Lepisosteus oculatus: one gene and its partner. The protein of the gene in region 1 purifies or fractionates together with the protein of each later gene. This does not show direct contact. Links are inferred from orthologs where the notes say so. Each region holds a gene or a part of one and is shown on either strand. Other genes may lie near its edges.

Evidence for each region. Proteins that work in one complex are often made in the same cells at the same time.
Region 2: the proteins of bcar1 (region 1) and bcar3 purify together in Homo sapiens (co-immunoprecipitation; 4 studies listed by BioGRID and IntAct, counting the BioPlex papers as one, with this or other methods). This does not show direct contact. The link is inferred for Lepisosteus oculatus from reciprocal best matches to the Homo sapiens genes BCAR1 and BCAR3.

The regions. Positions count from the first base shown.
Region 1 is NC_090715.1:820,381-827,743, forward strand, and holds the start of bcar1 (breast cancer anti-estrogen resistance protein 1), read left to right. Parts: upstream 1-4,327; 5' UTR 4,328-4,849; coding exon 4,850-4,861; intron 4,862-7,363. UniProt on the Homo sapiens protein: Docking protein which plays a central coordinating role for tyrosine kinase-based signaling related to cell adhesion. Implicated in induction of cell migration and cell branching. Involved in the BCAR3-mediated inhibition of TGFB signaling.
Region 2 is NC_090704.1:27,726,339-27,733,822, forward strand, and holds the start of bcar3 (breast cancer anti-estrogen resistance protein 3), read left to right. Parts: upstream 1-4,466; 5' UTR 4,467-4,483; intron 4,484-4,657; 5' UTR 4,658-4,715; intron 4,716-7,484. UniProt on the Homo sapiens protein: Acts as an adapter protein downstream of several growth factor receptors to promote cell proliferation, migration, and redistribution of actin fibers.

The DNA.
Region 1 (7,363 bases):
GAGAGAGGAGGATATTGTGTTTGTAGTTTCTTGTTGTGAATCGTTCAGTTGTGGATATGTTTTTATACACAGTGCAGGCAGTGAGTGATGTTAGACTCTGTATTTCCATGTGGGAAGTTTTTAGGCTTGGGTGTTTTGTCAGTGTGATGATGGGTCAAGGTTGTTGTTGCTGAAAGTTTTGGGGTGTCCGCTGAGCATCCGGCACACTGCAGGTGACCCCAGTGTTGGACCTGCTCAGCCACTCAGGACACGTCAATGGGCAGGCTGCTGCCCATTCCCCGTGTGTTCTTATCCTGACATGAATAAAAATGGACATCTGAAGTCACGTGCAGGCCCTGCTCTCGTTTTTGTTTCTCCGGCTGCCTCCGCTGTGATGGGCCGGCTCTTGCCATGGCTGTCCCTGCTGGCGGCGCAGGGCGGGGCGTGTCCTGACCTGGCACAGGACGCTGCGATCGCCCTGCGCTGCCAGCCTGCTGCTTGTTATGATTGGTTCTGCTCCTCCCTCACAGTGTCTCTGTGTGGTGGAAGCGCTGTTCGCTCTTGACCTGTATGTGCCTACTGCCTGTTAATAACCGCTGTGGGCCTGAGAGCTCAACCACGTCTAATCTAATAAGCAAACACAGACTGTCAAGTGCAAACAGTGACTTGTTTCACAGGCAGCGATACTCCCAGCAGGCCGCAGCTGCCAGCATGTGATGTCGAGATGCTTTTGGTCAGGCCATTTTCTCCATCCACAGATTAGTGCATTTAATAATTCAACCTGACATTGCAAAGACAAGGTAAGTCTGACATCTGCCCTGTCCTGATTGTTTGGGCGTGCCTTCACAGGGATTTAAACACGGTCAAAGAGCAGTGTTCGGGTCTCAGTTTCTCGCTTGGCACTGTAGCAGATGCGTGCAGATCATGTGTGCCCTTCACAGCGACATCGACTGCTCCTCGTGAACTCTGTTTCTCCACGAGCAAGCAGGGGAGAGTGTATTCCTTCCCGCGGCCTGTGAACTCTGCCGTGAACGTGCTGCTCTGGACCGGGGACAGAAGCAGAGGTCCAGGCAGTGAGGGGCGCTGGGAGAGCCACCCAGGTCTGCCGGCCTTGACAGGTGCTCCTCTTTGCAGGACCCCTGATGTCCCAGCTGGCCCCCCCAGACCCTGCAGTGACACAGTTCACAGTCCCCCCCCAAAAGGGAATGGCAGGACAGGAAGAGCTACAGAGCCTCCGTGCAGCTCACTCCTTTCCTCTGCAAGCTGAGTCTTCACCCAGCATGGTCACACTCTGTGTTCAATTCTTCTTTTCTTTTCAAACACGTCATCCATATCTGTGAAGGAACTGAAATTCCTCATCATCAGGATTTTGCTCGGCACTTGCTTAAGTCTTTGCAGTGATCTGGGGGGAAGCAGAGGTCCAGCATGGGACCTGTGTCACTGGGGGCTTTGTATTCCAGCAGCTGCTTGTGACGTATCCCTGGGTTTTTCGTTGCTTCAACAGAGGGGTTTGCAGAGAGGGAAATGTCTCTTTATTCCATCGCCTGACTGGCAAAGCTCAATGCTGTTGGTTTAGGATCATTTCTGCTCAGCATGTGGGGAAAAGGATTTCATCTTGCAGCTCTGAGTCTGTCTCATACAGGCGTGACTCCAGAACATTCACAAGGCATAGTCAGTCCTATTAAAAACCTTCTTTTAACTTGCTCTTCCCTCAGGAGTCGGGTGCTATTGAGATGTGATTGTAATGCTTTTTTTTTTTAGTGCACCCACGCTGCTGAAAATACCACTGAGATCACCCATTGATTTTCCCCTCCCCCTACATTTTAATCTCCCCGCTTTAATGCATAAGCTCCCAAATGAGATCAATATCTACTTCTCAGTTTTACTTTATTAAAATAATAGTATTGCCACTACCTTCTAGCAATATCTGGGCAGCAAGGCTCAGTAGGAAGATGTTGGAGAGGCTGAGCCTGGGCAGCAGTGAGACAAGAGACCTGCAGGGAAAATCAAGTTCCTGCTGTGGGTGTTGTTGGTAAACCAGTAAGTGGCGCTCTTGCCCCTTGGAGCAGAATTCCCAAAACTGTGACCCAGCTTAGTGACCCAGAGACAGTGTGCTGTAAGGTTCTGTCCTTTGGGTGAGATCTTAAACTGAGATCCTAAGTACTTGCTCATTAAAGGTCTCATGACATTATACGTAACAGAAGAGTTATTAACCCCGGTTGCCTCCCCAGTTCCCCTGAACTGGGTCACCTCTCTGCCTGATCACCCTCTCACCTGGTCTGCTGGCTCCCCAGGTGTGGCTGTACTACAGAAGTAGCCGAAGTGGGTCCCTCCTGTAGGTGAAGCCCTTTGCAGGTCTCGGAGGCGAGGCGCACTCTGTGACTGTAATTATTGTTACAGAATGAAACGCCACCAGGGATGTTTCTGTGTTTCAAGGTCAGGATCCTAATTACATTTCAAACAAGCACTCAGAAGAAAAGCGAAAAGGGCAGGGGGTGTGTTTGTCTCCCTCTTCTTTAAGAAGTATCCAGTTCTGACAGTCCAGCATGCAGGTATAGATGAATCAGCTCTTGAGGGAAGAGTGTGAAGGCTTCAGCAGGGTCTCGGAATTGTTTCCTGTTTCACAGTGTAAAAATGTTCCTGCAGCCAGACTCGGGTATATAAACTGTCCAGGAGTCACAGCTGTCAGGGTTGCTTTCATGCTTTGGGCTTTTGCTGTGACACGAAATAAAACAATCAAATCCACTGGCACCTCCCACACACATCTGGGATCCTCTCTTCTGCGTGTTCCGTGACACAGCAGGGGGGCTGCTCTCCCTGGGGGGCTGTACCTGTTCCTCTCCTGCCCGCCCCTGCAGCCCCAGGGGGGACAGCTTGTGTCTCATCTCGGGAGCGGTGCTGCAACAGCCCGATCCCTGGGGGGGTTCACTTCACCGGTGAGGTGCTGCTGCTGCTCACAAGGCTTTGATTTCGGTACTTAAAAAATGCAAAAGAAAGGGGGAGGAACCTGCGTGCTCTGATGTGCTCTCAGGTGTAGTTCTTAATTCTTTTGTGCTAGACGTTCAGCGGTTCAGCAATCCGCTCACTACTTTCACTGCATGACTGCTTACCACAGAGAGCGACTTGTAAAAACAGGACAACATTTTGACACTGAAGTGTCTTTGTCAGGAACCGGCACATGAGAGCAAGAGTGTGGAACATCATTTGTTAGTGGCAGAGGCTTTGTGAGCTTCCTGTCTGCTTTGATGCTGCGTCTCTCCTGTGAATAATTCAAGTAAACAGCAAAGAAAGATTTGCACAGTCTCAAAACCAGTGGAGGGTCCCCAGTCCTGACCTCTGGGCAGGGTTTAAAGCACCCACACATGAAGAGCTGACACACCTGCAGGACTGATTACATTGGAGTTGGGCTGTGCAGGACACCCCAGTGCTAACAGGGGTATTGGAAGATTTCCTAATGGGTCACCACTATGACAGGACCCGTAAAGTTAATACTAGATTTTTCATTACCTTTGTGTTCACGAGTCTCTCCAGTCAGTTCCTCACACCAGTCCTAATGAGAACCAGCAAACTCAGTACAAAGGCTTGATTGTTGGGGCTCAAGTTCTGGACATCAGTTTTTAAACCTAAACCTGTGTTTGTGGTACAAGATTTCCTGCATTGCTCTGCAACCTGGCGTGCTCTGTGTTTATCTGTGAGTACAGCTGCAGGAACAGCCGCCTGTGACACTTATACACGTCTAGAAATGGAGTTTGCAGTTATTCAGGATTTCATAGGGTAGAGGTGCCATTGTTGCCAGATATATCTGCAGTAACAGTAGCAGTAACAGTTTTTAGTAGAAGGAGAGCAGTTTATTATTTCTTAGCAATTAAACAGAGCCTTTTAGCCCAAATGAGTCCAACGCTAAACCTGTGTAAGAGGGGAACCCTTTCCATCCCTTAAGCGCAGCACAGATCTCAGACGTTTATGGGACCTCATCTGTGACTGTGATACATTTTGAAACAGGAGGCTTGTTCAGGCGCACGAAGATGTAAGACATCCTGGGATCACAGTGAAAATCCATGATTGATGACTTTCATGTAACTGTTTCCAACCTTTACCGTAATGACACGAAACTAACTGCGTTCATTGCAACCAAGGACTGAACATGCCAGGACCATATACTGTACTGGATGTGCTGTTAGTGCTACAGCTGATAAGTTATCGATATTAGCCAGAGTGAGAACAGGCATTTTACAGCCGACAGAAAATGAAAAAAACGTTCCCTTTAAAGAGCCGTGCTGGAAAGCCTATGTTAAAAGCGCCTGCGCCCCCCGCCTCTCCCCCCTCCGGGAGACCATCCCTTTAAACCGAACTTGCTGATTCCGTCCTCGCGGCCAGAGAGCAGCTCCGTGTCTGCTGCGCCGGAGTGACATTTACTGCCGCAGATCCGGGCGCCGGAGCAAGCGGCTCAGGGAGCGATTGCATAGGAGACCCTTTACGCTTCTAGTACCAGACTGAGAAGGAGAGAGAAGAACAACCAAGGGACTGGTGACATTTAGGAGAAGAGAAGGTGTGATTTGCGGAGCTGAGACAGGGGGGCTCTGTAAATACCAAGTGCACGCGCTGGGCTCGGCTGGAATTGGGAGCTCTGCTTTGCTGGATTTTGGGTGAGACGAACGAAATTCCTGACGTTGATTTCCGACGCAAATCAGACTGAAGATCCTGGTTTTGGCGTGGATAAAGAATAACATACAAACGATAAAAAGCAAGGATGTCATAAGGACGAAAAGCCCCGAGTTGTTTTGACAAAATAGCGTTTTTCTTTTTTTTTTACAAGCGTCAAGTACAGTTTCCATCAACCATAACGCAGACCAAGCGGCATATTTCAAAGATGTCTGTGCCGGTAAGTAAGAAACCTAGAGACAAGGAATCCCTGTATGCTGTAAATTCATGAGTCGTGAGGAGGTTCCGAAGGCGGAGAGAGACCGGGCTGAAGTGTACACTATGCGCGGACGAGGCAGTGTGGAAGTCTGCGCCAAGTAGCTCCGCTTGGCTGACTTGTGTGCATTTCTGCTCTCTGTTTATGAGTCCGTGTTGTGGATCTGCTGCTGCGCTGGTCGCGGAGATTTCAGGGCAGTTGTCTGTAATGAAATGTCCTTACCCGAAGTTTCTACTGTGTACCCATCAGAGGCGGGTGGCGTAGCCCCGGCTCCGCCGCGCGGGTGTGCGGGCAGGGCACGGCGGGATGCGCCTGGTGTGTAAGGCGCGCTAGACCTTCTTTTACTGCACGAACTTTCCGTGCGCTGCGTGGATTACTGAACGGCGGTGCGTCCGAAATATCCCACCTGCCCGCACGTCAAACCTAGCTACCGCTCTGATATACAGGTAAGAGGGGCGCAGGGGGCACAGTCCAGTCCAGGTGGGGGGTAGGGTTCTGGTCTTCTTCCGACCTGAGCCCTAATTCCCTAATTACATTACGGCTCATTATGTGCTTAGTTGATCATATTGAAGCTTTTCCTCGAGAAATTGGATATTTAAATAGACTCAAAACCCTGCTGGACAGCCGTGGAGTATCGGCTTTGAGCGTCCCTCGGTTAAGGTACAGAATACATGATTAATCCGATACGCCGGCGGAAACCCCTCGTTGTCTATGGTTTTGATCTGGAACTTCCGATTTAAAGAAACACTTGTGTATGCTTATGCACTGAGTATACATATACTGTATGTGCATCATTTGGTGGGTTATAGAGCACTTTAGTCATGCTCGCATTGTTAAATGTTTTAGACAAATAATAATTATATCCTTATATAGCCTATTTCTGGACACTCCACTCAAAGCACTTTACTTTGGAGGGGACTCTCCACCACCACCAGTGTGCAGCTCCACCTGGATGATGAGATGGCAGCCGACCTGCACCAGTTCACTCACCACACACGCCACGGTACCACCCCTAGTCTTTTTAAGAAACACCCTGGGATTTTTAATGATCACAGAGAGTTGGGACCTCGGTTTTACATCTCACCTGAAGAGCAGCGCCTTTTTACAGTGCAGTGTCCTTGTCCCTATTAGGACTCACAGACCACAGGGTGAGCACCCCCGACCGGTCCCACTCACACCTCTTCCAGCAGCAACCTCACATTTTACCAGGAGGTCTCCCATCCAGGTACTTGCCAGGCTTACAGCTGCTGAGCTCCAGTGTGCTGCAAGTTGTGAGCTGCAGGGTGATATAGTTGCTGGCAAGTTTTATTTATAGACTTCTTTGTCAAACGTTTGCCAAAGCTTGGAACACGCAAAAGAACAGTGCCCACTGTGGATAGCTGCAAAGACCAACATTTATTACACAAAGGAACAAGTAATAGGTTTATTCCATGCTGAAAAAAAGAAGAAAGAGAACACAACGTTTCGTCGGTGGAGCCTTCTTCAGGTGTCATTTTTACACAATACCAGCAGTTGCCAGGTCAGCATCTTCAGTGTCCGTCAGATCCCAGCCGAATCCGTAGCTCCAGTCAGATCCCAGCCGAATCCGTAGCTCCAGTCAGATCCCAGCCGAATCCGTAGCTCCAGTCAGATCCCAGCCGAATCCGTAGCTCCAGTCAGATCCCAGCGGAATCCATAGCTCCAGTCAGATCCCAGCGGAATCCGTAGCTCCAGTCAGATCCCAGCGGAATCCGTAGCTCCAGTCAGATCCCAGGGGAATTCGCCATGCCAGTAAGATCCCAGGGGAATCCGCCGTGCCTCATCAGATCCCAGGGGAATCCGCCGTGCCGCATCAGATCCCAGGGGAATCCGCCGTGCCGCATCAGATCCCAGGGGAATCCGCCGTGCCGCATCAGATCCCAGGGGAATCCGCCGTGCCGCATCAGATCCCAGGGGAATCCGCCGTGCCTGTCAGATCCCAGGGGAATCCGCCGTGCCTGTCAGATCCCAGGGGAATCCGCCGTGCCAGTCAGATCCCAGGGGTAGTGCAGTGCCAGTCAGATCCCAGGGGAATCCGCCGTGCCAGTCAGATCCCAGGGGTAGTGCAGTGCCAGTCAGATCCCAGGGGAATCCGCCGTGCCAGTCAGATCCCAGGGGTAGTGCAGTGCCAGTCAGATCCCAGGGGAATCCGCCGTGCCAGTCAGATCCCAGGGGTAGTGCAGTGCCAGTCAGATCCCAGGAGAACCCGCTGTGCCAGTCAGATCCCAGGGGTAGTGCAGTGCTAGTTCCTCCATGGATCTGGTTCCTTTATTTTCGCTGATAAAAAAATTGGTACTTTTGTTTTCACACAATTTCGACTGAATAGGATGTAACAACACTCTATTTTGCATTGATATACTTTTTCTATGTTAATAAACAAGTGTTTTTATGAAGTTGTTAGCAGATTTCTATGAATTCATATCTGGGACTGTTATCTAGTAGCTGTTT
Region 2 (7,484 bases), on another chromosome or scaffold:
ATTGGAGCATTTGTGTGTCACTGATGTCACTGCAGATACATAGGTAGATACATGGCAAAACACAGGAGAAAGCTCAGATGCAAGTTGTGTAGTGCCCCTCATGGACTCCTAGTCAGAGCTGACACTTGGCATGACCCAAGCTTTTAGTTCTTAAAAAGCAGCACTTCCCAAGTCTACACTTAAAGAAGAGGGTCTGATAGTGGTCCTTTTAGACTGTGCATCTGTAACCTTAAGATCCTTATGCACCCCAGAACCCTGTGGGCGCTCTTGATCACCCACTCCTGTAAACAAAAATATGTTAGAGACAATAGCGGTCTTGTTGTACATTTCAGAAGCCCTATTGTGCTTCTTTAAATAGACACTCCTGCACACATTAACACAATCGTCATGCCTGCTCTCCGTCATTATGTCTAGAACCAGGTTTGTCGTCAGCTGCTGTTACAAATTACCGAATGGACTAGTAAATATTTATAATTGCAATCACACACTACTGGAAAGCAAAGCAGGCAGCTGTCTTTCAAAGGACTGACTCATCCCTGCAAGTAGCTGTCTCACACTGACTTCCAAGATCAAACGGGAAATCAGAAACTCTCTGCCAAAGAAAAAAGCTGATCTTGTAAAAAAAGAACAGTATGCATCCAATTTGCCAGTATCTTATCTATTAAGAATCTCCAAACCACTACATTCTCAAGTTTTCAAGTTTCAAGTTTCAAGTTTATTGTCATTACACTTATATACATAGTTTATGGTATAACGAAATGCTATTTAGGTAGCTCTCGGACATAAGTAGTACAAAGAGAAAAAACAACAACAACAACAACAATACAATTGTGTAGCAAAATAAAGACAGAGACAACAGCCAGTGTGCAAAAAACAACAACAGACGATGTGCAAAAAACCAACAACAGGCAATGTGCAAAAAACAACAGGCAATGTGCAAAACAACAAAAAGGTAACAGGTTATGTGCAAAAATGTCTGCATGTTTACTTACATTCAAACTGTTTGCATGTTTACTTACATTCAGACTGTCTGCATGTTTACTTGCACATTGTCTATTGTTTGTTTGTACATTGTCTTGATGCACTCTTTGCACTTTGTTTTGTTTTTTACACTTGTTTTACAAACGAGAGACTTTCTGTAAGTAAGAATTCCATTGTACCAGTACCGGTTACATATGGCAATAAAGTTCAAGTTCAAGTTCAAGTTCATATGCATCAACAGAATAAAATAAAGGGATAGAAATTATGGGGAGTGAGCTTTTGACATGTATGGTAGAGGAAGATTTTCAATGTGTGTTTGGGTTTTTGGTAAGAAAGAAAGGAAGGAAGAAGGCACTGTGAGGTTCAGATCATAGGTGAGAGGTGAGGTGAGAGTGAGAGAGGCTGGGAATTTAACAGTTTGATAGTGCGGGGGTAAAAACTGTCTCTGAGTCTGGTAGTCCGGGCCCGAATGCTCAGGTACCGTTTTCCAGATGGTAGCAGATCATAAAGTCTGTAGCTGGGGTGTGTGGGGTCTTTGATTATGCTTAGAGCTTTCCTCAAGCACCGTCTGTCATAAATGTCCTGGATAGATGGGAGGGTAACCCCAGTGATGGACTGGGCAGTTTTCACCACCCGCTGTAGGGCTTTGCGGTCAGCAGCACTGCAGTTGCCATACCACACTGTGATGCAGCCTGTCAGTGTGCTTTCTGTAGTGCATCTGTTGCGCTTTCTTGATCGGACAGGTGGTGTTGAGAGACCATGTGAGGTCCTCGGTGATATGGACACCAAGGAATTTAAAGTTACTGACCCTTTCCATTTCAGTCCCGTTGATGTGGATAGGGGCATGTCCGGTTTGCAGTTTCCTGAAATCAACAATCAGCTTCTTGGTTTTGCTGACGTTGAGGGTGAGGTTGTTGTCATCACACCATGTTGTAAGGAGATTGACCTCCTCCCTGTAGGCCTCCCTGTAGGCTTATTAATTGAATAAGAGGAAAGAATAAGAATTCTTTCTTCTTATTCAATTTTGAAGCAGCTTAATTCCTATCTGAAAGTGTGTGGGCCAAGGCAGGGAGTTACTGTAGGGGTGTAGGTGGGGTGGCAGGAGAAGTAAGAGATGTGTGACGTATATCCATTGGCAAACCTAAGAGTGCAAGATTTTCTTCCTCCCGATTTTCTGTTACAAACTCCATTAAAAAAAAGCTAATGAAAGGAAAAAACTTCAAATTAATGTGCCCTTCCACTCACCTTTTATCCTTGTAAATACACTTTGTTGGTACAGGCATATAGCACTGCCGTAGTATACTGTAAACTAACAAAGCACGGCACTTGTGCCAGAGTTATTTCTCTACACATGACTCTAGGCAGTAGGTAGAAAACAACTGCACCCAGTGAAGAGAAAATGAAAAGTATTTTTTTTAGAATAAACTGGTTTATTCCCAATTTATGGGTTGGTTCACCTCCTCCTCTCCAGCTCCCTGCTGGTCCCCATGGCAAGTCACTAAGGCAGAGAGATGAAAGGCCAAACACAGTAAGCTAAGCATCATAAAACATGCATTTAATTAAACTTCAGTTTCTTGCTTGATATGTATTAAGAAGATGCTTTCCCTGCTCTCTTTAAAGCTATCCAAATGCAAAATGAGATACCTTTAGTAAGCTGCATGGTAGTCAGACAGCACAAAATAAATCAGCTTACTGTTTTGTCTCAAATGTTCCAAGTATAACCTCACCATTAACCTATTAAATGATTGATGTTTAATTCCCTTTAAGCATTTTTGTGTTATCTTTCAGTACTTGTTGGCTTCCATTATTCCTGCACAAAAAAATAAAACTAAAAAAATAAAAGAGATGTCACTGATCTCTCTAATGGGGAAAAGAGGTGTGTGTGAGAGCTCTTTCCTCCAGGCGTTGAAAAAATAGAAATTGGAAACGAACAGGGTTCCAGGTATGGTAAGAGAATAACTCCACACTGGGGATGTGTTTGGAGCTGAACAGGTATTTAGCAGTGTCCTGGCTTTCTGGTTAAAGTCTGCACTAAAAAGGAGTAAATGTGAAAATTAAAACAAATAAATCATCTCATTAATATATTGATAAATATTTTTTTCAAAGTGCAGTCTTTTCCCCCCTCACTTGATTAAATATAATACACCATACGTGCTCAATGTACAATTTATCAATGTTATGTGTGGACTGCCTCTTTTCACATATTATCATATATAACTTACAGCATTTCAAAGTAGCTTTCTATGCTTTAAAAAAACATTTCCCTCAGAAGACAATAAGACAGATGATTTGCAAAAAAGTCTCTTAAGTGGCTCTTACATTAACTTCTGGAGAAAGCCTGACCACAGTGCTTGAAGAATCATGCGAAATGGAGTCTGTCAAGAAACAAAAGGAAAGAATAATCCAAGATCATCTCTTACCCACAGCTCTTAACAGCAGCTAAAAAATAAGACCTGGTTATCTTTGACTATTTTCCTTGGAAAGAGTTCAATTATCTAAGAGTCTGTAGTGTTGCAAAATCGCATCTTCTGGTATGAAGGAGGACTTTGGGTCAGAAGAGGTGAAGGTAGAATCTAGTTCAGATTCCAAGATTACGTTTTCCACTGTTTCATGATTGAAACATAGTGAGCTATTGGGGAGTGTGCTATAAAACAACATTTTTTAAAAAATTGAACCGCCCATTGTTTTCTTTACATAATGTGTAATCTAAATGTTAATCAACTTACCTTCCTGCCACCCCACTTGAACCAACAGTAATGACTATGCACACTTTTCCTAGGACCATGTTCTTCCTGGTGCAGGGAATGAACACTACAGTTCCTATAGGAGTGGAAACACACGGAAAATACTCCTAGAAGCGATCAACTTCAACGGAGAGCAGATGTAACCCAACTATTGGACCTTGATTAATTCCAGCACATTCATGCTCATTGGTCAATGTAGAAAGCAGTCAGATTTACTCAGAAAAAAAACATTTAAGAAAATGAAAAATCACTCAGCCAAAGGGTTAACAGAAGAGACAATCTATTTTTCAAACTCCGTGGTGGGGCAGCCAGCAGCCCTGAAATCCCCTCTAAATGACCTGATTCCAATTAATTTCCTCAGAACTGGGCTTAGAGGCTGTAGATACAGCATTTTTTTCCAACGCTAATTTTCTTTTCCTTGTTATCCTTGCAGCGTTAATGAAAGGAAGAGTCTTACAGCGGCTTAGTTCAAGGGGAGGGCGAGGTCTGGAGTTTGCTTGGAGATAAAGCCCATGACCTTGGTTATAAAAATTGACTGCCTCGTTTAACACATCCCAGCTGCTGCAGCGGCAGGTTGGCAGCAGTATGAGAGGAATGTGCGGAGTCCGGGAGCAAGTTGCAGCACTCCCCAAGAGGAGGGGGGCTGAAGAAGCAGAGTGTGTGGAGTGTTTTTCTCCTGACAGAGCGGAGCGAGGAGGAGGCAGAGCTGCCCCCCCCCCGCCCTTCCCCTTCTTGATTGGTGAAGAGCACGTCTCAAGGTGTGTCTTCTGCCCACTGGGATCCTACAGCCACTGCGGCTGCTGGGAGGCTTTCCCTTGACAGCCAGTCAGTCTCCACGACACAAATTCAGAGGGTCCGATGGACTAACGTGGGGAATTTACTGAACACTGTGCACTTATGAAGTTCTTTGTATTGTTTCTTGTTTCATACAGACTTTGCTGGAAAGGGAAAGAAAGAGGCAAACACTAAACTTCTTTCGCAACAAACAGGGTAAGTTTTCTTCATCCTATCATACTATGTCTCTTTTTCAAATTTGCGAGTTTGCATGACCATTTCTAATCCAGAACCAACCTGCTGCCTAAATTGTGCTGTATACCTTAGTTTATAGGAGCAGCAGTAAAAAAGCAAATTCCAGCAGATTTCTAGTCAATATAAGATTATTCATGAAGGTTTCAGTGCTTTCCTATAGATAAACAATTTAACACACAAAGCAAAACTGTTTATGATAAACTGACAGTGTGGTTGATTACATTCCTGCTGCACTTGTCTTAAACTAGCTGTAAAGAATTGGGGTGTATTTATTTCACACAACCACTTTGCGAGCTTCATCTTAAGGCAACACCAGGATGCAGAGGGGAGGTTCAAGTATAATCTGCAAGCCATGGACCATAATTAGTAAATGTGACATTCAGTTTACCACTGTTCCAATCACGATATGAAAAAGAACTGCTCCATGAGGTCTTTAAACATACTCAATGAAAATACAGTAGAATATTTTCCTATTAACTACAGCAGAGGCATCTTCTCTTGGAGAAAGCTGAGGCTTACCCTTCTCTTTCACCTGCTCCTACAGTACCTGCAATTGCTACTTATGAGCCCCAGTGGCATCCACGATCTGAGAAGCCGAGCAGTGGTATCACTTGCAGTGATTGGCAATGTTGGCAGTGCCCACATCTGTGATCTCGAAACAGGACCAACGCCTCAATTATGTTGTGCTATGCACCCTCCGTGTGGTGCATAAGAGTTTGCAGGAGCCACTACTTTTCCAGGGATTCCCGTGCTTTTGGATTACAAATAGCAGGGTTGCAAGTTTCTTTCTGCAACCATAAACACAAGAATTCCTGCGTGTGCGGTGAAGTAATTAACGTTTTGGGCACAGTTTTTTAGTATGAGGCAGGGACCTGAGCACTTACTCTATTAACGAGTCACATGGCTGCACTTCACCATGTGCCTTTAATGTGGTTTTTTTCATCACTCACACATGGAGAGGGCTGCAAGCCTGGTGGCATGCTTCAAAGCAAGACAGGATGTATTTCACAAAAGCCAAGGAGACTTCATTTTCATTCTCTGTGGTCTTGGATATACTTAGTATAGATGTACTCTTTTCTAGAGAAAACCTGAAAATGAAGATATTTCGCACTATGTGACGTTTTAAGCTTTGTGGGATTCTTATCAGAGTAGCTAATCAAACTGCTGTGTGATTTTCTAGTTGTTCAGAGTGTCATGGCGCAACTGAACAAGATAAGGAATTTTAAAAGATGACAAGTGATTTCAAAAAGTCATGCTTGATTATTACTTGTTTAACAAAGAAAGCATCCTCATTAGAACCCTGCACTCAAATCTTATGGAAATCTGAATTAAGTTGTTTGGTCAAACCCTAATTAAGGAGGATAAGTGGTATCTAGATTTCTGTTGGGGTTACTCCCCTGGCTGAGGTTAACAACAACCTATCAGTTGGAACCTCTTCCTTCTTTAATGAGGAATAAGACAGGGAGCTGCTTCAGGGGTAAAGATGGGATGTAGGAAGGGTTGAGAAAAGTGAGTGAGTAGAGAAAAAGCATGATGCTTATAAACAGGTAGAAGTGTCACGATATTAGTTCCCCCTCCTTAAGGGTGCTCCAGCCCTATCACTCTAGACTTTATTCCATGCACCTGCGCCCTATTCCCTGCCTACCTTAAAAGCCAGGCGCTGACGCTCTTCCGGGCTCTGCATCTGATTTCCATATCGTGCGAGTCCGGGACCAGGAAGCGCCTGGTCCCGTTAAGGTTTTAACCCCTGTTCCTTGTCCCCTGTCCGCCGGTTCCGACCCGGCCTTCGTGGTTTTTAATTCCGTGTTCTGATGGATCTTCTGGTTTTGGACTTACCTTCGTGTTTTGGATACTCTATGGATTACTCTCGGATTGTTCGCCTCGGCCATACCTCCCCCGTGCACCAGCGCACTTTGGACACGCCCCCTTGTCTTCAGCCCCGTTTTCCTGCATGACGTTTCCCTAGTGTTTCCCCACTCCGTCGGACTGTGTCGTCCGCATAGGGTCCGGAAAGAACTGTTCGTTACAAGAAGTGGGTGAGATTAGGGTTTGACCTTCTCCTGAGTGAAGTGTTCATCTGCAATTGCATCAAAGGGACTGGAAATCCAAAAGGCAAACATCATATATACTGACATGCTATCAGAGATGTTCGACAATGGGATGAAAATTTGTCAAATTTTGAATTAGAAAAAAAAGGCACAGTGCTTGGACAGCTGTTCAATGCATGCAGCTGTTGCTGCTTTGTTATGTGAATTCAGGATGTTGTAATGAATACAAGAAGAAAACAGTAAAAAAGTAAAATGTAATAAGCGATACAAGTTTTATTGACACAACACCCTCAAAGACATTCAAAATTGTCTTAACAAACATTGATTTTACATTTCAATTCTAGTATAACTTTTCAGAATTATAAAGTATAAACTATCACTATCCAGGATAACAATAACTACTCAAAAACTCATTAGAATCCTGCACTCAAATCTTTTGGAACATTGTAGAAGATTGAATGAAGTAGAAGATTGTTTTAAGTAACATATTAGCCTAAATGCATGAAGTTGTTTGAAACTGTCTTGAAAACATTAACGCTAGAATTCCATTAAACATCCTATTTTCCATTAAGCAATCAATAGGACACTTTAAGTATAAATTACAGCCATAGGTAACTCTGGAAGAAACCATTTTAATGCATCTTGCCCTGATTTAGATGGGACATTTGGGTTCTCTGTTTCT